Linked DNA regions of Rattus norvegicus. The protein of the gene in region 2 interacts with the protein of the main gene of each other region in a pairwise test. Links are inferred from orthologs where the notes say so. Each region holds a gene or a part of one and is shown on either strand. Other genes may lie near its edges.

Region 1 (8,359 bases), on a different chromosome or scaffold from region 2:
AGGCGGGGTTGGGGGCAGGACAGACATCCAATACAGGGGAACAGGAAAAAGAAAATAAAATGCAATAAGCATAAGCGAATGGCTCGTGAGGGTTAATATGCAACGCTGCCTAAAAGCTACTAGCATGGGATGTAACAGAGACCAGCAAGCAGGGGCAGGGGGACTGGTGGGTATACGAGACAGGAGGGATGAAATGTTCGCTTGCTTCCCTTAACTGAGACAAACGTGAAAGCCAGGTCTTTGGTCTGACGCCGCCTAGCAGCCTCTACGGTACACTTGTTAGCGCAATCCGAGCTGGGCTAAGAAGTTCAAACATGGCGGACGTACCCACTGATCTTTTGTGGCCTCCGTTTTTGGAACTCTACTTCATCCACTGTCCATACTGCCCCTTTAACGTTCTCTACTCGCACAAAACACTTGTGGAGACTAAGATTATGACGCACTGCATTCTGCAGCAGGTATAAAAGAGAGAACATTGACATTTTTTTTTCTATAAGAAAAGACTCAAAAAAAAAAAAAACAAAAAACAAACAAACAAAAAAAAAAAAAACACAGCAGTACATTCAGCCCCACATCTGTAAAACCATCCCCCAGAGCTGCAGCCGCCACCCCCTCCCCCCCACGGAGGACCTTCTTTTGAGTGTCTTTTAGGGAAAAACCTCAGATTATGAATCGATGGTACTCTGGCATTTGAGCCTAATTTCCCGGTACCACACCACCAGAAGACACACTGGTAAATATGCATGCAAGTCCCAAGCAGGTCCCTCCACACAAATCTAAAATATTGTTAAAATGATGTCAAAATCAGTAAAGTATAAGAACTATTCTTTTACAAACCCATCTATGTGGGATTCAAAAAACTATTTTATTTTTAAATCATGAAAGATGAACAGTTTTAAATACACAGCAATGTCTGGCTTTGAGACCATGCCTAGGTTTTATTAAGGAAAGTCCTAAATAGGATTTTACCACCGAGAGTACCATCTTGAACGGCAAAGACAATGAGGGGGCTAACTCGGCCACGGGAGTTCGGCCTCAGCCATGAAGCAAGGCCTTAGCTTCCAGAGTATTTGTGAACATTGGCAATTACTTGGAGAAGCAACTTTAACTAATTGAGCATATGCCAAGAACTTAACAAGCAGGGCTCTCAGTGGCAAAACAACTATATTCCCGCAGTAGGTTTCTACATTTCTTATGTTTAAAAGTCATTGTTGGGCATTGCCGAGTGGGATCCTTCATATCTAACAAAAAGGATACTCTTAATTCAAGTGCAGAGAGGCTCTAAATGTCTCATATTTTCAGGGAAATCCACAACCCTGACTGGATAACCAAACTGGATACACTTCAGTCTTGCCTGACACAATGATGGACTTGAGACTATTACAACTGACTAGTGGCAGCTTTTGTTTTGTTTCGTTTGTTTTTTCACACAGAGTAAGTGGCTTGGGGAAGGCAGAGGCAGCTGACACATGTATTGAGATTTTGGCACCTTATGTAAGCCCTCACTTGAACCTAGCATTGTATTGTTCAGACAAGCTACATTCTTCTCCTACAGTAATTTGCTTTCTTGGTGACAAATCTTGAAACTCTCAGAGGTCTCTCAGATTTCTGGGAAACAATGATTGGTGACTAATCAGGTTACCTAAAAGTTATTCTTCTCTGTGATACACTACTTAGAGGATAAGGGGACACATCTTTATTACTTCTATAACAATCTGCTCACCAGTGGACTCCACAGAATGAGCTCCTAGGGGACTCTGAGGACAGCTGGAAGTAGGCTCCTGATACTGTCATGACTGGCAAAGGCTATGCTTAAAAACAAAGCTCTACACAGGTAAACCGGACCTAGCTTTTAAGGAAACAAATTCTTCTTTAGATTGCTTGGGGAACTATCCCTTCCAATATCATGGAGGAGACAGAAGAAAAGATTTTGCACTTCCCTTGCAAAATCAAGAGAGCACATGTGCACCCGTGAGGGAGACACCTGGGGAGAAAAGCGGTGTCAATCACCGAAGTATCAAAATGCACAAAAAAAAATCCAAAGACTCCAGGGGCTAATCCTGAGCAAAGGTGATTTAGAGGGCTCTGCATATTAAAAAAGAAAGCAACTAAAAATCCAGAGGTTTTAAAAAGAAAAAAAGGATCAGCAAGTGACACCATCCCACTTTTGTCTTTCGGATCATTGTCCCGGTAAGGACACACAGAAAAACTGTCTGCTGAGTACTTCGTGTGGGGCTGTCTGTATTAGTGACACTTCTGCCTTTACTTTGCAAAGCTGGAAAAGTGAGGTTTGAGTTTGAAATTCACATCCACAACTGGTAGTTATTTTGAAATGTGGTCATTTGGTATTTATAAAGAGCAATTTGGAGGAAAATGTCTTCTTTACGCTTCTCCTTCCTAAATTTTTAAAAGTTTTGTAGCTAAAGAGTCATTGTATTTTATCTCCTGAGGCAGGAGACTGAAATGAAGCTAAGACCTGCAGTATAATTTCCTGTCAGCCCCCATGTGGCTAATGAATTAATTCTGTGCCTATACTAATTTTCTTATAGAATCTTAGGAGGAAAAACAAAACATATTTCTTCCTATTAAGTCAAGGAGGTAGAGTCCCATAGAAGAGTACCTGTTGCATTGAGACTATGGATAAGGACACATCTTTAATGCCAGGCAGCACTGAACAGATCTACTCGGCACTATGTGATAAATTCAAACCAGGAAGCTGAGCGAAGGTGTCAAAGGCTATCTATGTAGCCCTGCCTGGCTTTGTACCCAAAATCTCCCTACTTCTCAAATGCTGGGATGCCTGGCACGCACCACCATGCCTAGGCAAGGAGGCTTAACGGAACACAGAATCAATGCTAATGAAACTTAGAAGGGACTCCAAGTGTCTACAGGGTTATCTAGTGGGGAGGTCTGGCAGCTGACCTGGTCTATGGCAGATAGCAGCACATTACATAGTTCTGAAACTACCCTTCTTTCTTGGGGTAACCATGAACCCACTCTTATAATTGATACCTTGCATCCGGCAGAAATCACCCTTTCTGCTGTGTGAGTACATGGATTACACAGCTTCCTCTACTTGTGGGGCGGATGAGCTTTGATCTAACCACTGAAGGATCTTACTCAGCTTGGCTCCTAGTTACGCCCCTGAAAATGACTGTCGGTTACCCATGGTTTATGGAAGTGATAGGGCCAACCTCAGAGTTAAGGGTGGCAATGTCAACTCCCTTCCCTATGCAGAATTCTCCGGCAAATCCAGCCACACCTTTCTTGCAGGGGCTGGGGCTCCTCCATCTGAACACTTCAGTCGCAATGAAATGCTTCTCCTAGTCACATTCCCAGTGCAAGGGGAATATTCTTGTTGCCCAGTAACTGGATTTTTCTCCACAAGATTCTCTCATCTATAAAGGTCAAAATTCAAGACTGCAAAGCTTACCTTCCACGTGGCTGCATTGCGTCGGAAGTAAGCAAACATTCGTGTGAACCAGTTATAGATTTCGTTTAGTGTTAGCTGCTTTTCTGGAGATTCAAGAATGGCCTGTGAGGCAAGAATCCGAAGAAAGTAATTTATAATCCAGTAACTAGGAACATTCGACGGTGCTCATGAAACTGTGGAAAACCAAAACCAAAACCAAACCAAACCCAAAAATCCCAGAACTGTAATTTAGAGCAAACTCCTCAGACAGGTTTCACAAAATGATCGAAGATTAACAATTGTCTTTAAATGGTTCAATAGCAAAACTTGAAATGGAATTATCTAATTGTTTGGAGTTTTTATTTCTGTTTCCGTACAGAAATATTAATTTATTAGTCATTCATAAAGCAGAATCAAAGAGAAATGCAAAACATTTCACTAGCTGATTAAAGCTCAGTAATTATTTAGAGCTCAGATTAATTCTAGGGATCAGAGATTACTGTAGCTTTGTGATAATTGACTTGCCATCTTTAAACAGCCTCATTCTCACTGTTGTGTGAAATGAATTCCCTAATAATCACATCGTATTGTAATACTTAATCAAAAGCAATTATGTTATATATTGCAGTTTTTAAAATCCTTATAGAAAAGGTTTGAGCATGCTTGCATACTAAGTGGTTTTAAATCTACTTCATCAATATAATATACCCACATACACCTTTTGATAGCATTTCACGGTCCCTGTTATTTACTTACCTGCCTAATTAAAGATGCATATGTAAATGGTGGTCTAACTTCCGCGTTCTTATAAAATTCTTGGTTCTGCGCAATATCTGCTAAATAAGAATCATTGTCCTATTAATGATCACTTTTTAAAAAGGGGCTCATCGACAGGAACTGCAGATTCCCCATGCTGCCCCGGGCAAAGACAGAGAGTAGCTACCTGAAGAAATGGGCACGTTGTATTTGTCTGAGTACCGCCTGCGGATAGGTCCCACCGTGTGCATGCTGGTGGTGGTGATGACAGAGGGGCCTTGGGTGACGGGAGTCAGGGGGGCGGTTGGGGTTGTTGGAGTATGAGGTAAGCTCTGTGGAGAAGCCTCTGAGGCGGACTTGGAGAGGGTGACACTTGATACCAGATTCAGCTGTGAGAAGAAGGATATTGGTTAGAAGGTCTTGAGAAAAGCAAAAAGAAAAAGAAAAAAAAAAAAAAAACCAAATAGCTACAGAAACTCGAGCAGCCGTGAAAACCTCTCTTGTCCCAGAGGAAAGACTGGGGCGCACCTGGTGAGGGTTACCTCTCCAAATCGGTATGTTTACACGGGACGCACTTTCAGTTAGAGGGATTCTCCCTTGCACAGCAGCAAGGCTGGGGACCAAAGGAACACCAGCTGAGCTACAGTGGCCGGAAGCTGGTTTCTGCAGTGGCGTGCAGTGGTTTCTGGTCTCAGCCACGTACTGCCACGACTGCAAGGCTGCGGTGGGTGATTTTTTTTTTTTTAACCTTAAGATTGCAATGGATTTACTAAGAGGCCACACAGGGTTCTGAGACACTACTACTGAGACCAGCAAGAAATTCTGGGACTCAAGTCCACCGCGTGATTGAACACGCCACGGGGCTGTGGGTGATGGACTTGTGACTTCTGCTCAGCAGTGGCTCTTACCGTGGAGGCAGCCGTCTGTTTCTATAAAGTTGCAATATTTGGTTGCTTAAAAGTTTTAAACAGTCCAACTATGGAAGCGGATGGCTTCTGAAGCACCGTGGGGCAGTATTAAGGAATGCCTCCCCTTCCTTCTGTGCTATTGCACTCTTCCTTACCATTCTCACACTACCTGAAGGGATGAGTCTTCTCTAAAACTGACTGGGACCAGAAAAGCCCCTTGAGTTGGACAAGAACCTAGTGGTTTTCCTCATGTTTATGGAGATATCAAGTACTTCAGAGAGCCCCTCCCAAGCCCCAGAAACATCTATAAAGTACGCTGTCACTCGGCCGACATTTTATCATGCTGCATTTCCAGTCAGCTGCCATGATGTCTCTTGCCACCATCAGATTAAGCACAAGTGTTCTTTGTGGATGGTGTACTGGGAAGACGCCACTTAGACTCGCACAGTAGGAATGCACAAGACTACCCTGTGCAGTAAGTTCCAAAGGAAGAGAGAGGAAGGACCTGATGCCATGAAAGGAACATTACCAGAAAAACCCAGATTTGGTACTCAGAGCCAAATGGTGGGCTTTTCTGTGTTCAGTCTGAGATACTGACTCAGCACAGCATGCGCCCCCAGTGTCGAGAACAGCAAGCTGGGGCACACTCTCGCTGACCTTCAGCAAGCAGGGGCAATGTGGTAAGCTGTCCTCCCAATGGAGCCAGAAAGCCGACCGTGACACACATTTGCAAACCAAGTGCTAACAGTTCGGAGTAAAGACCAGGGACAGGGCAGGGCAAGATGCCATCAGGGAAGAGCAAAGGCTGACCCCTTCTTCCCCTCAGGCCTTAACAAGTGCCCAAGGCTGGCAATCTGCTGAAGTTGGAGGGCGTCAGGAAATTAGTGTAGAAAGATCCTAAATATATAGGTTTGATCCTTCAGATGCTATAAACCTGAGCATGAGGAGACTTTGGAAAGCCACAGATATCTTTCATAAAAATACATCCTCTCAAACACCTGCTCTGAGAGGCGTCGTTTCATTCACACAGTCCTACAAACTACTCGTGTTTTACAAAGACTGAAAAGGAAGCTTGTCCGTATTCTTGACTCAGACCCAAAGTCAATCCACGTTCTTGTATGGTCCTACAGCCTCTGCCCCCTCTACTTATGCCCAGTTAATGTCTAAATGAATGCTATAAACATCTCCACCTCTCAGTTACGCTTGCTTCTGGAAAAGCTCCGGTGAACAGCTTTTATCCTTGCTCATGAATGACACTCAATAAATATTACCAAGAACTTCCACAGGCTTGGAAGCAGAACTAAACCACAGAACTGCTGTCCTTGAAGTGCTTACTGTCAAAAGCAGATGTAAAACCCAGGCAGTTTCTCTGAGGTCTCACCCTAGATCCCGATTTCTCCTTCTAGCCTAAGAACATTATCTCAATGCCCCCTACCAGTTCTGAAAGAAGTTCGGCAAGTCCTATGTGACCATTCAGCAGGTACAAGCTGTCATTTTGAATACTCAGATCTGAGAAGAAACTGGTGAACCCACACACAGAGACATGCCACTAGATGTGCAAAGAATTGGACTCCTGCAGCTTTTCTATGGGGTTTAATAATGCTTGGATCTGTTCTGCCCCAGACAGCAACAATGAAAAAAACAGATCCTTCAAGGTTGGCACAAGACGGGAAGACAGCAATGCAGGCTGAATTTTCTGGATGCTTTTGAATGTAGGTAGGAACTGGAAATAAACATTGAGCCTGAAGAGAGGGTTTACTAGGCTTGACAAATGACACCGTGATTCACACCCACTGCTGGGCTGTCTCTAATAAGCCACAGAGGAAGCGGCCAATCTCAGCTAATTACCAGATAAAAATGTATTGTAAGGACTCTAATTAGGAGATGCGGACGGAGGTGATCTAATGATTAAATGGTACATTCGACTGACCCCACCATGGATGTGCAGTGGTGCACAATGTCGCTGGAATATTTTGTAGAAACAGTAATTTTATTTCGGGGAGGGAGACAGTAATATTTGTAATGATGGCTATGAGGTAAACTAATTAAAAGACAGTTCCTAGAGGAAAGGGGTGTCTGGGAACAGCTGCGGCCATTCCAAACCCAAGTGCCAAGTCTCAATGGAAGAGCTTCAGTCAAGTGGAAAATTTCTGCCTGACCTCTGCCCTTGCTATTAATTTGCAGAAAAACTAATGACACATATACATATTCCCACAAAATTGTTCTAATTGCTAATTTGCCAAAGGAGCCCGGATTCTAAATTAAACATGACTGTAGCCTGCAAGGGAAGAAGAAGATGCTGGGAACTCCAAACAGAGGGAGCTTTGCTACGCAAGACCATCAGAAGGCTGGACCAACCCGCTAATGAGACACAACCCTGGCGGCTGCTGTGCAAGTTCCTCAACTTTTAAACTTCTGTCTGGCAGTCATATGTGCGCGTGTGTCCCGGGGAGAAAAGGTTGGGTAGGGAGGCTACCCAAGGATTCGAAAGACACTGAGCTCACATAAAGCCTGTTCTTACCATGAAGGACCCTACCAAGAATGTTGAAAACAAAAATCGCCAGTCTTACCACAAGCTTAAAGAACAAACTAGGGTGCTGAGGGGATGACTCAGTCAGGAAAGAGCTCGCCTGAGGAGGAGGACTGGAGCGCAAGTCCTCAGCAAGGCGCTGTGATGGTCAACACCTATAAGGTCAGCCCTCAGAAGGCAGGGACAGGAGGACTCTTGGGGACTTTTTGGTAAGAAACAGCCTAGCCGAATCGGCACTCCAGGCTCAGTGAGAGATTGTATCTCAAAAAATAAGGTGGGGGAATGACTGAAGAGTACATGGGACACTGACCCCCCCCCATATACATGTCTGTGTGCCCACACAGGTACAGATAAAAGAGCAAATCACTGGGACCGGTTTGCCCCCCCCCCCCAATTACCTTGAAATATGTATCTTAATGGTAAATTATTAAATCTTTATCCAATCACCAATAAGAAAGGAAAGCCTTGATGGTTTGTGTTTCTGAGTAAGGTTTTAAAAGAGATTTTGTTTTCTGGGGCATGGGGCCGGAAGGGATAGGGGCCGGGAGGGTTTCTTCCCCTGACGGAAAGCCCGATTTTCTCATTGTGATCACTTTCTATTGAAGAAAAGGTTGCTATGTTTAGAAAAGCTAGTAACGCAGATATTTTTCTCTATGGCAAGTTGCCACTGAAGGGATGATTTCAGCAAAGATAATCTCTTTCAAACGCTGGCCAGGAGCTAAATTCTGATGTCACTTAAAGTTGCTGCAGGCT
Region 2 (8,359 bases):
CAAATACACGATCCTGTTGGACTCCTTACAAAGATGCCTGAGGCTGAGTGTGATGGTGCACATGCTAATTTCAGCATGAGAGGCAGAGAGGCAGGTGTGTTTCTGTGAGTCTCAGGTCAGCCGGCGCTACACTGTGAAACCCTGTTAAAGGGGACAAGGGGAGCACTTCACTTAGGTCAACATTTTGTGTTCTAAAGAACTGAAAGGTGTAAGGAGCGTAGCTACTGTAAGCATAGAATATCTTAGAGAATCCCTGTGTACCCTAAGTGTTTCCCAAGAGTTTATACTCTAGCTTTCCTGGTTAGCCAATAGAAATCCCAGAAAACTGAGACTGGAGAGATGGCTCACCTAAGAGCACTGGTCAACCATGAGGATCAGAATTCAGATGCTAGCACTCACATCTGACAGCTCACAAACACCTACAAACACTACCTCCAAGGTATCTGACATTCTCTTCAGACCTCTGTGGGCACCAAAACACACATTTGTACACATACACACACACACACACATAAGTTAAATAAAAAACTTTTTAAAAGTTCCAGCAAATAAAACTGTACAACTACTCTTAGTAATATCATACATGGATGCTCACCTCCTGTATTCCAAGGCAGAGATAATAGATGCTGTCAGGGGCATAATTCTCTCCATTTGGTCGTCGGATCTCATTGACAAAATGGGCTAAGCCATAGTTGAGCTCAGCTGTAGTATGAGAGAGTAGATCTTCTTTTAACTTTACTGATTTGGCTAAAAAGAAATAAAAATTATCATTAACTATTATGTCTGTACACTTATGCAGCACAAATTCTCGACTGCCTATAATTCCAGCTTTAACTATAGTGTCTTATTTTGGCTTCCACTGGTGGGCAGACAGGCATGGGCGCTCTCTCTCTCTCTCTCTCCACACACAAAATACATTCATAGACACATCATAGACATGCACACATAAGATATAAATTAAAACTGAATCATGGAATTGGAGAGAAGATTCATTAGTTAATTCAAGGGCTCCTCTTCCAGAGGACCCAGGTTGAGTCTCAGCACCCACATGGCAGCTCACAACTTTCTGTAACTTCAATTCCAGGAAATCCAACATCCTCTTCTGGCCTTGGTAGGCACCAGGCATGTAGTCAAAACACTCATATACATTAAGTAATATGTGAAAAAAATAAGAAATTAAAAGAAAAATATCAAAGGCAATTAAATATGGAAACAGACTTTTTTAAGCAGAACTTGAGATGACAAAACCAAAACACTTACAGGACTTTAGCTCATCTAATTCCAGAAGATCTTCATCAAGCTGCCTCGTTTTGACCCAGTGTTTCCATGCATTTACACCATACGTATACTTGAAAGGAAAGCTGCACTCTGAATTGTCAGAACTGTCGTCGTGAGATTGATATCCTGATACAGCTTTCCTCTTGGTTCCCTGGTAATAAAATAACACTGTAAATCCTTTCTCTAAGACTCCATTATTTCATGTAATCCTAAACAAAGGCAACCTAAAAAAACTGCTGGTTGGTACTCTGAGAGCTAATTATCATTACAGTAGTATACAGCGGTAATAGTTCTCGATACTGCTTCTTGAAATCCAATATACCATAAATGTTTGTAAACAAATCATTTTCATATAATAAAGAAAAAATATAAAATAAAAACGATTCTAAACGTCAGCTTGAGACTGAAGAACTTTTTAATAGCTTCAACATATAAGAAATTTACTCTGAGGCAGCAGTGGCGGCACATGCCCCTAATCCTAGCACACGGGAAGCAGAGGTAGGTGGATCTCTGGCTTTAACAGACCAGCCTGGTCTACAGAATGAGCTCCAGGACAGACAGGACTACAAAGAGAAACCGTGTCTTAAAAATAACAAAGCAATAACAAAAAAGAACACAGAAATCTCCTCTTTACTTGTTTCTTTTTGGTGCTGAGGGTCAAGTCCAGCACCATTCACATGCTAGGCGATCACAGTGCCTCGGTCACCTCAGTCCCTTCTTTGAGTACCCGGTGGTACGGGTGCTCGTCCTTTTGGAAAGGGCCCCAGTATGTAGCCAGATGGTCTCCAACTCCCTGTGCTCGAACATTTAGGACTAGGACCCATGTGAGTTCATGGCTCTATACAGTGTTGACACCTCAGAGTTCACCTCATCTCACTGTACATAGTCCTTTACTTTAAGTTTTCTTCCCTGAGACAAATTTATGAAAGTCCTTTTCTTAGTGTCTTTTCATCTTGTCTTATGTTGGAAGTCAGAAACAGAAAGTTTATTTGATAGAATATTAAACAAATTTAATTCTGTATGTCTAAATGATCACTGTCTAATACATACCTAGTTTTTCTTTCTTCTTCTTTTGCACTTGGTCCTTCCTCCTTCCCTCCCTCGCGTGCGCGCGTCCATGTGTGTGTGTGTGTGTGTGTGTGTGTGTGTGTGTGTGTGTAACAGTGTAACATTTATTTCAAGCGGGCTATGAACTGCTGATCCTATAGCCTCTCTGGCTAGAATTACACCCAGTTTATACAGAGCTGGGAATCAAATCCAGGGCCTCCAGTCCAGGGCCTCCTACACAGTAGGCAAACATTCTACCAACTGAGCTGCATCCCTAGTTCCCCAAATGTCTTCCTCTCTGTGTTGGCATGCTTAAAAATAAACTACATCTCTCTTCATTAATTAACCTCATCCAAACTGATGAGAAATTTAATCCACTGAAAATCACCAACCCCTTCTCCTTTCTCCTTTCCATTGAGACAAATGCAGTGGTTATAGCTATGTGCCACCATGCTCACTCAGAAAATAATCTTTGTTATTGTCTGAGTTGAATTTTCTTTTTATGTCAACTATTTTCCATTTTGACATTATATTAAGATGAATTTAATATCTATCTCCCCATATTGTCAGGCCCAAGATATCCCCAAAGCATCTTTCTCTGACATGCTGCTACAGCGATGTTAAATGAATAAAAAATATAAAACATTAACAAATTCTATACCTTTTTTTTAGATCGAGGTCTGGGCTGCTCCTCATATTCTTCCCCAAAAACTGGTGGTAATAAAAACTCATTTTCCATATCAAGTTCCTCTGCAGCTGACAAATTAGAAAATATCTTACTTCAAATATAACAGTACAAGATTCTGCTACATAAACACGGCCAATAAAGAGTCCCGTGACATGAAGGATCATCCAGACATGGGGTAAGTCTCAGCGAGGCGAGGCACAGGGAGACTCATACTTAACATGGTGTTGAGTTTTGCTAAACTATTTGATAAACTAAAAACCAAATGTAGCAAGTATCAATCAGTACAGAAGCATCACAGAACTGTATGATACTAGAAAAAGGAAAACAACTATAAAACTAGTTAGAAGATCTAAAAGTGCCAATCTTGTTCAATCTCTTGTCTTTTTCGTAGAATGCTTTACACTTCATTCAGTAGGAATTTATAAATTAGGGGAAAATGAGAACAGGAACACATTTGTCTGTCTGTGGCCTGGAACCTACTTTACAGAGTCTACACTTCACAACCCTCCTACCTTAGCAACAGGACTGCAGGAATGTACTATCACAAGGCTTTCAAACACTTGTCTTTTTTGAGACGGACCCTTATTAATTAAATCAGACTGACCTCACAACCTGACAGTAGCTGCCCTTAACTTAAGTTCTGCCCCCGTCTCCCAGGGCTGGGACTGTAGAGCATGCCAAGCTATCCGGACGGACGAGACGGAAGACGTCTACACTTCATCTGCACTAACCAGCAGCGAAAGGGAGCGTGTCGCTCTCTTTTTTTATTTTAAAGATTTACTTTATGTATGAGACGGAAGACGTCTACACTTCATCTGCACTAACCAGCAGCGAAAGGGAGCGTGTCGCTCTCTTTTTTTATTTTAAAGATTTACTTTATGTATGAGTGCACTGCCACTGTCCTCAGACACACCAGAAGAGGGCATCAGATCTGATTACAGATGGTTGTGAGCCACCATGTGGTTGCTGGGATTTGAACTCAGGACCTCTGGAAGAGCAGTCAGTGCTCTTAACCACTGAGCCATCTCTCCAGCCCTGAGCATACATCTGTTAAAGAAGTAAATGTATTTCTTTTCCTTTAAATATGAATTTAACTTTCAAGAACATTAAGAAAAATGCTACCAAGCTATACATTTGACACGTACCTATAATCCCAGCATGAGAGGCTGGGAGAAGGCATGCTTTGAGTTGGGGGCCAGTCTGAATTATATAGCAAAACCCTATCATGATTCCTACCTCTACGCTAATACTATCAATACCTCTGAATTGAAAAAATACAAGTATTGTATTCTTCTCTAGTTTCTAAAGTTCCTGCAATTAATTCAGTTTTATTTGGAGAAATAAAAAAGAAAAGGAGGAAGAATGTAGCTAAGTGGAAAAGTACATGCAGCATCCTCCACTACAAAGGACACACGGAAAAAAGAAACAATTATGAGGATAAGAGGTAATTTTACTAACACTGTTGATCAATTACCTTAAATACAACCATATAACTTGATTTAATAATGATAAAGTAGTATTTAAGTACCTCTGGGGAAATCTATTTCAATATCCAAATCTGGTTCATATGGTACATCGGGCATGTTGGATTGTATATCTGAGTCAGAGTTCTTTGTAAGATCTGAGCCAATTATGTCTGTCTCAATAATTACACCTGTAACCAAGCAATAATATCATTAGAAATCAAATTAAAAAAAAAAAACTTAATAGTATCTGTACTTAAGCTCCCAAAGGAAAAAGTAGAAAAGTTAATATAAAACAACTCCCGTGTGTGTGTGTGTGTGTGTGTGTGTGTGTGTGTGTGTGTGTGTGTGTGTGTGTGTGTGTGTGGTGGGGGTGGGGAGGACACATACATTACTTGCCAGTGTGATGTAAGTGCTTCCAGACAGGAATGCATGTGGAGACCAGAGGCTGACCAGAGTCCTGTGTTTTTCTTTGTTTGATGGATCCATCTTCCCTTCCTAATCTGTCAATTCACACTAGGGTTAGACACAAGCCACTGTGCCTGATCTTTTAAATAGGTTCGGAGGATCCAAATTCAGGTTCTCATCTCATTCTTATATGGCAGGCACTTTACTGAGTGGGCCATTTCCCCATGTCAATATTCATAAAACAATTCTTTATCAGAAATAAACTTATGGAAATAAACAACTATGGTTTTCAAACAGTATTTTTGAATTTTGACCAAGTTTACACATACTTAGTATATGCTTGTTAATAGCTACCATATGTTTCGATGAACTGTTTAACTGTTTTGCCGTAGTTATAAATGCATTCTATCTAATATATACTAGAATGACAATAGGTCTCCAGACAGAAATTAAGACAAACGTATATAATTAGGAAACAAAGGCGTTCACAAACCCACCTAACTCTTCTCTGAAGGATTCAGACATGGCTTCCCATTCTTTTTCCCATGAGGTATGTAGTGTCATATACTGGACACACCTAGAACTCACGTTCCAACACCTGAGCGCAGGGACTAAGTGGGTGTCTGTATTTTATTCTTAATTAAAAATGAACACCACACTAGGTGGTGGTGGCACATGCCTCTAACCCCAGCACTTGGGAAGTAGAGACAAAGGGATCTCTATGAGATCCAGGCCAGCCTAGTCTACAGCACTAATTCCAGGACAGCCAAGATTAGACAAAGAAACCCTGTCTCAAAAAACAAACAAACAAACAAACAACAACAAAAATCATACCACTAAGTACAATCCACTTCATTTGACAACCTCTGAGAATACTGCAAAACAACTTCTACACTTTTCTTCTGGTATAAAAGCAATTAGACAGTTCAGGACTAAAAATGGATTCTAAATATTACCAGAAGACTACGGATAGGAAGGAATAAATGTTCAAAAGGACAGAGTTGCCCAACAAAACACTCATATTAAATCACACCACTATGTAGCAGTGTCCTAAAAGAAAGTAGGAAAAATTCTGGTTTAGATAAATATAATATAAATATAATAAAGCAAATTATATTTGATTAGTATAAAAAATAAAATATTACTAGAAATAACGATCACAAAATAAAATCTTAGAAACCTAAGAAAAATAACTGAACTGAATTCAAATCCTATTACTATTAAAACAAAACAAAATAAAAAAATAGGGAGTGAGTGAATTAGAAGCAATGGCTGCTCTTGCAAAGGACCAAAGTTCAGTTCCCAGCCCTTACATGGTGGCTCATAATCTATAACTCCATTTTCAAAGGATATAATGCTCTATCTTCTGAACTCCACAAGTGCCAGGCATACACACATGCAACTCTCAAACACATAAAGAAATCTTACCAAAACAAACAAACAAACAAACCCACCCAACTTTTGTTTCTAAGAAAAGGTAATCTTATCTACTTCAGAAGATGACACTGAAGACTTCTTGAGGCCAAGAGTTTATTGCCTCGGACACATTCTAAGTCTCCATCTCAAAATAAAACAAAATATTCCACTAGAGATCAAGCTTAGCATTAGAGCAAACCTGGTTCAAGTTGGAGTGTGTATTCCTCTTTATTAAAAAATTGTGTTGTTTTATGTGTACAGGTATTGTACATGTATGTATATCTGTGCACCACTTGCATGTCTTATGCCTGTGAAGGCCAGAAGAGGGCAGGGGAATCTCTGGAACTGGAATTAAAGAAAGATATGTGGGTGCTGGGAACCAGATCCAGGTCTTCTGCAAGAGTAACTAGTACTCTTAACCACTGAGGCAAAGTGTGTTATTTCTTAATATAAAATATTTCTGCTATAATCCTTTTTCCTGCTACAGGATATGCCTTTAAGTATTGTAAAGATGACAATACATAGACCCCGTCCCCCAAACCTCTTGCTGACAAACTGAATAGTGTAGCTTACTGTTGATATTAGATGCCTCTGTTTTCCCCTCCTCTTCAGTCATCATATCCGTCATTGTAAGCAATTCTGTATCAAGAGGATCTGAAGACACTTTGCTTTTGAGGTCCTCAACTGAGGCAGGAATCTTCTCACTGTTCTCCAATGGAGCAGGCAAAAACACAGGAACGGGCACCTAACCAAAGCATTGTTAATATTAGGCAAACTAAACAATACAAGCTAGTTTCTGAAATTAGATGCATGACCTACTACTATATAAATACATTATTGAAGAAAGTCTTTAGCAAGACTAAATATCAAAACTAAGAAGCCTACCATGACAAGAAAATCCCAGAATACAAATACTTTAAAAATAAAATTAAGAGAAAAGAAGTCAAGCTCAAACATAGTATTTTAAATATTACATGTGATTTGTGATTAAGTGAATATTTCAAGAACCTATAGTCTATGTTTCGGTTCTAAACTTTACAGCTTCAAAAAACTTCCCTCTGAAAATAAACTCAAATATAAAATACAGTATTGACACAGCAGATACAGCCATCTGCTCAACTTAACACTCCTGAGATGACCAGGCAAACAAATATTAAAAGAATCAAATGATAGCAAGAAGCTGACAAAATCTAACCATGGAAGAAAAGGACAGATGGCTTCTACTGGGTATAAATGTCAACAGCTGCTGGTGCTGTTTTAAAAGGCTGTGGAACCATTAGAAGGTAGAACCTCTTAGGAAGTTCTAAACCATGAACCAAAATAAAAATTCTCCTTCCATTAAGTCAACCTTGACACAGTCACCGTGACTAGTACAGCTCTGCCAGCATCACTGAGCTAGTGACTACAAACTAGTCTCCCAAAGGCCTGCAAAGCTTAGCCTGAGGGCAGGGTCTACGTACAGGGACAGGGACTGTGGTAGGAACAGGAATACTCTGGCTGTACATGTGCATAGGCACAGGGACATACACAGGCACAGGAATAGGCACTGGGACATACTCTGTCTTCCAATTTTCATCTGAAAAACAAGACATGGGGAAAAGAACAATGGGTGGTTTTAAGAAATCATTAAACATGTCATAAAGGCTAGCCTTAACCTGGCAATCCTCCTGCCTCAGTCTCAACATCCTGAGAATATAGGTATGAGCCACCATAATAACTCTCTTGGTTTTTAAACTTGTTTGTGACCAAGCTGGCCTTAACTTAATAGATGGCCCTGCTTCTGCCTTCCTAGGTGAGCAATTAAAAGCATACAGCCACCAACCATGACTTTTTGTTTCTTTGGTTAACTGATTTCATCAAACAATATTAACATTAATATTAACAATATTAACTGGCAACTTAAGAACAAAAGAAAATAACTTTGTCCTAATTTAAAAGAATTTTCTAGTTTCTATAAGATTTGATAAACTTCAAAAGCTTTCTACAACACCTATTCTAACTTAGAATACTACTTAACACTTATTTAAAAAATGAAAATATATCCTTTAAAAGTACACAT

Evidence for each region.
Region 1: the proteins of Zmym2 (region 2) and Foxp1 come close enough for resonance energy transfer, tested with the Homo sapiens proteins (2 studies listed by BioGRID). The link is inferred for Rattus norvegicus from reciprocal best matches to the Homo sapiens genes ZMYM2 and FOXP1.

What each region holds. Positions count from the first base shown.
Region 1 is NC_086022.1:133,133,580-133,141,938, forward strand, and holds part of Foxp1 (forkhead box protein P1), read right to left. Parts: intron 4,558-8,359; coding exon 4,356-4,557; intron 4,249-4,355; coding exon 4,169-4,248; intron 3,536-4,168; coding exon 3,434-3,535; intron 450-3,433; coding exon 328-449; intron 1-327. UniProt on the Homo sapiens protein: Transcriptional repressor. Can act with CTBP1 to synergistically repress transcription but CTPBP1 is not essential. Plays an important role in the specification and differentiation of lung epithelium.
Region 2 is NC_086033.1:35,205,052-35,213,410, reverse strand, and holds part of Zmym2 (zinc finger MYM-type protein 2), read right to left. Parts: intron 7,877-8,359; coding exon 7,761-7,876; intron 7,046-7,760; coding exon 6,874-7,045; intron 4,668-6,873; coding exon 4,542-4,667; intron 3,082-4,541; coding exon 2,987-3,081; intron 1,430-2,986; coding exon 1,261-1,429; intron 748-1,260; coding exon 596-747; intron 1-595. UniProt on the Homo sapiens protein: Involved in the negative regulation of transcription.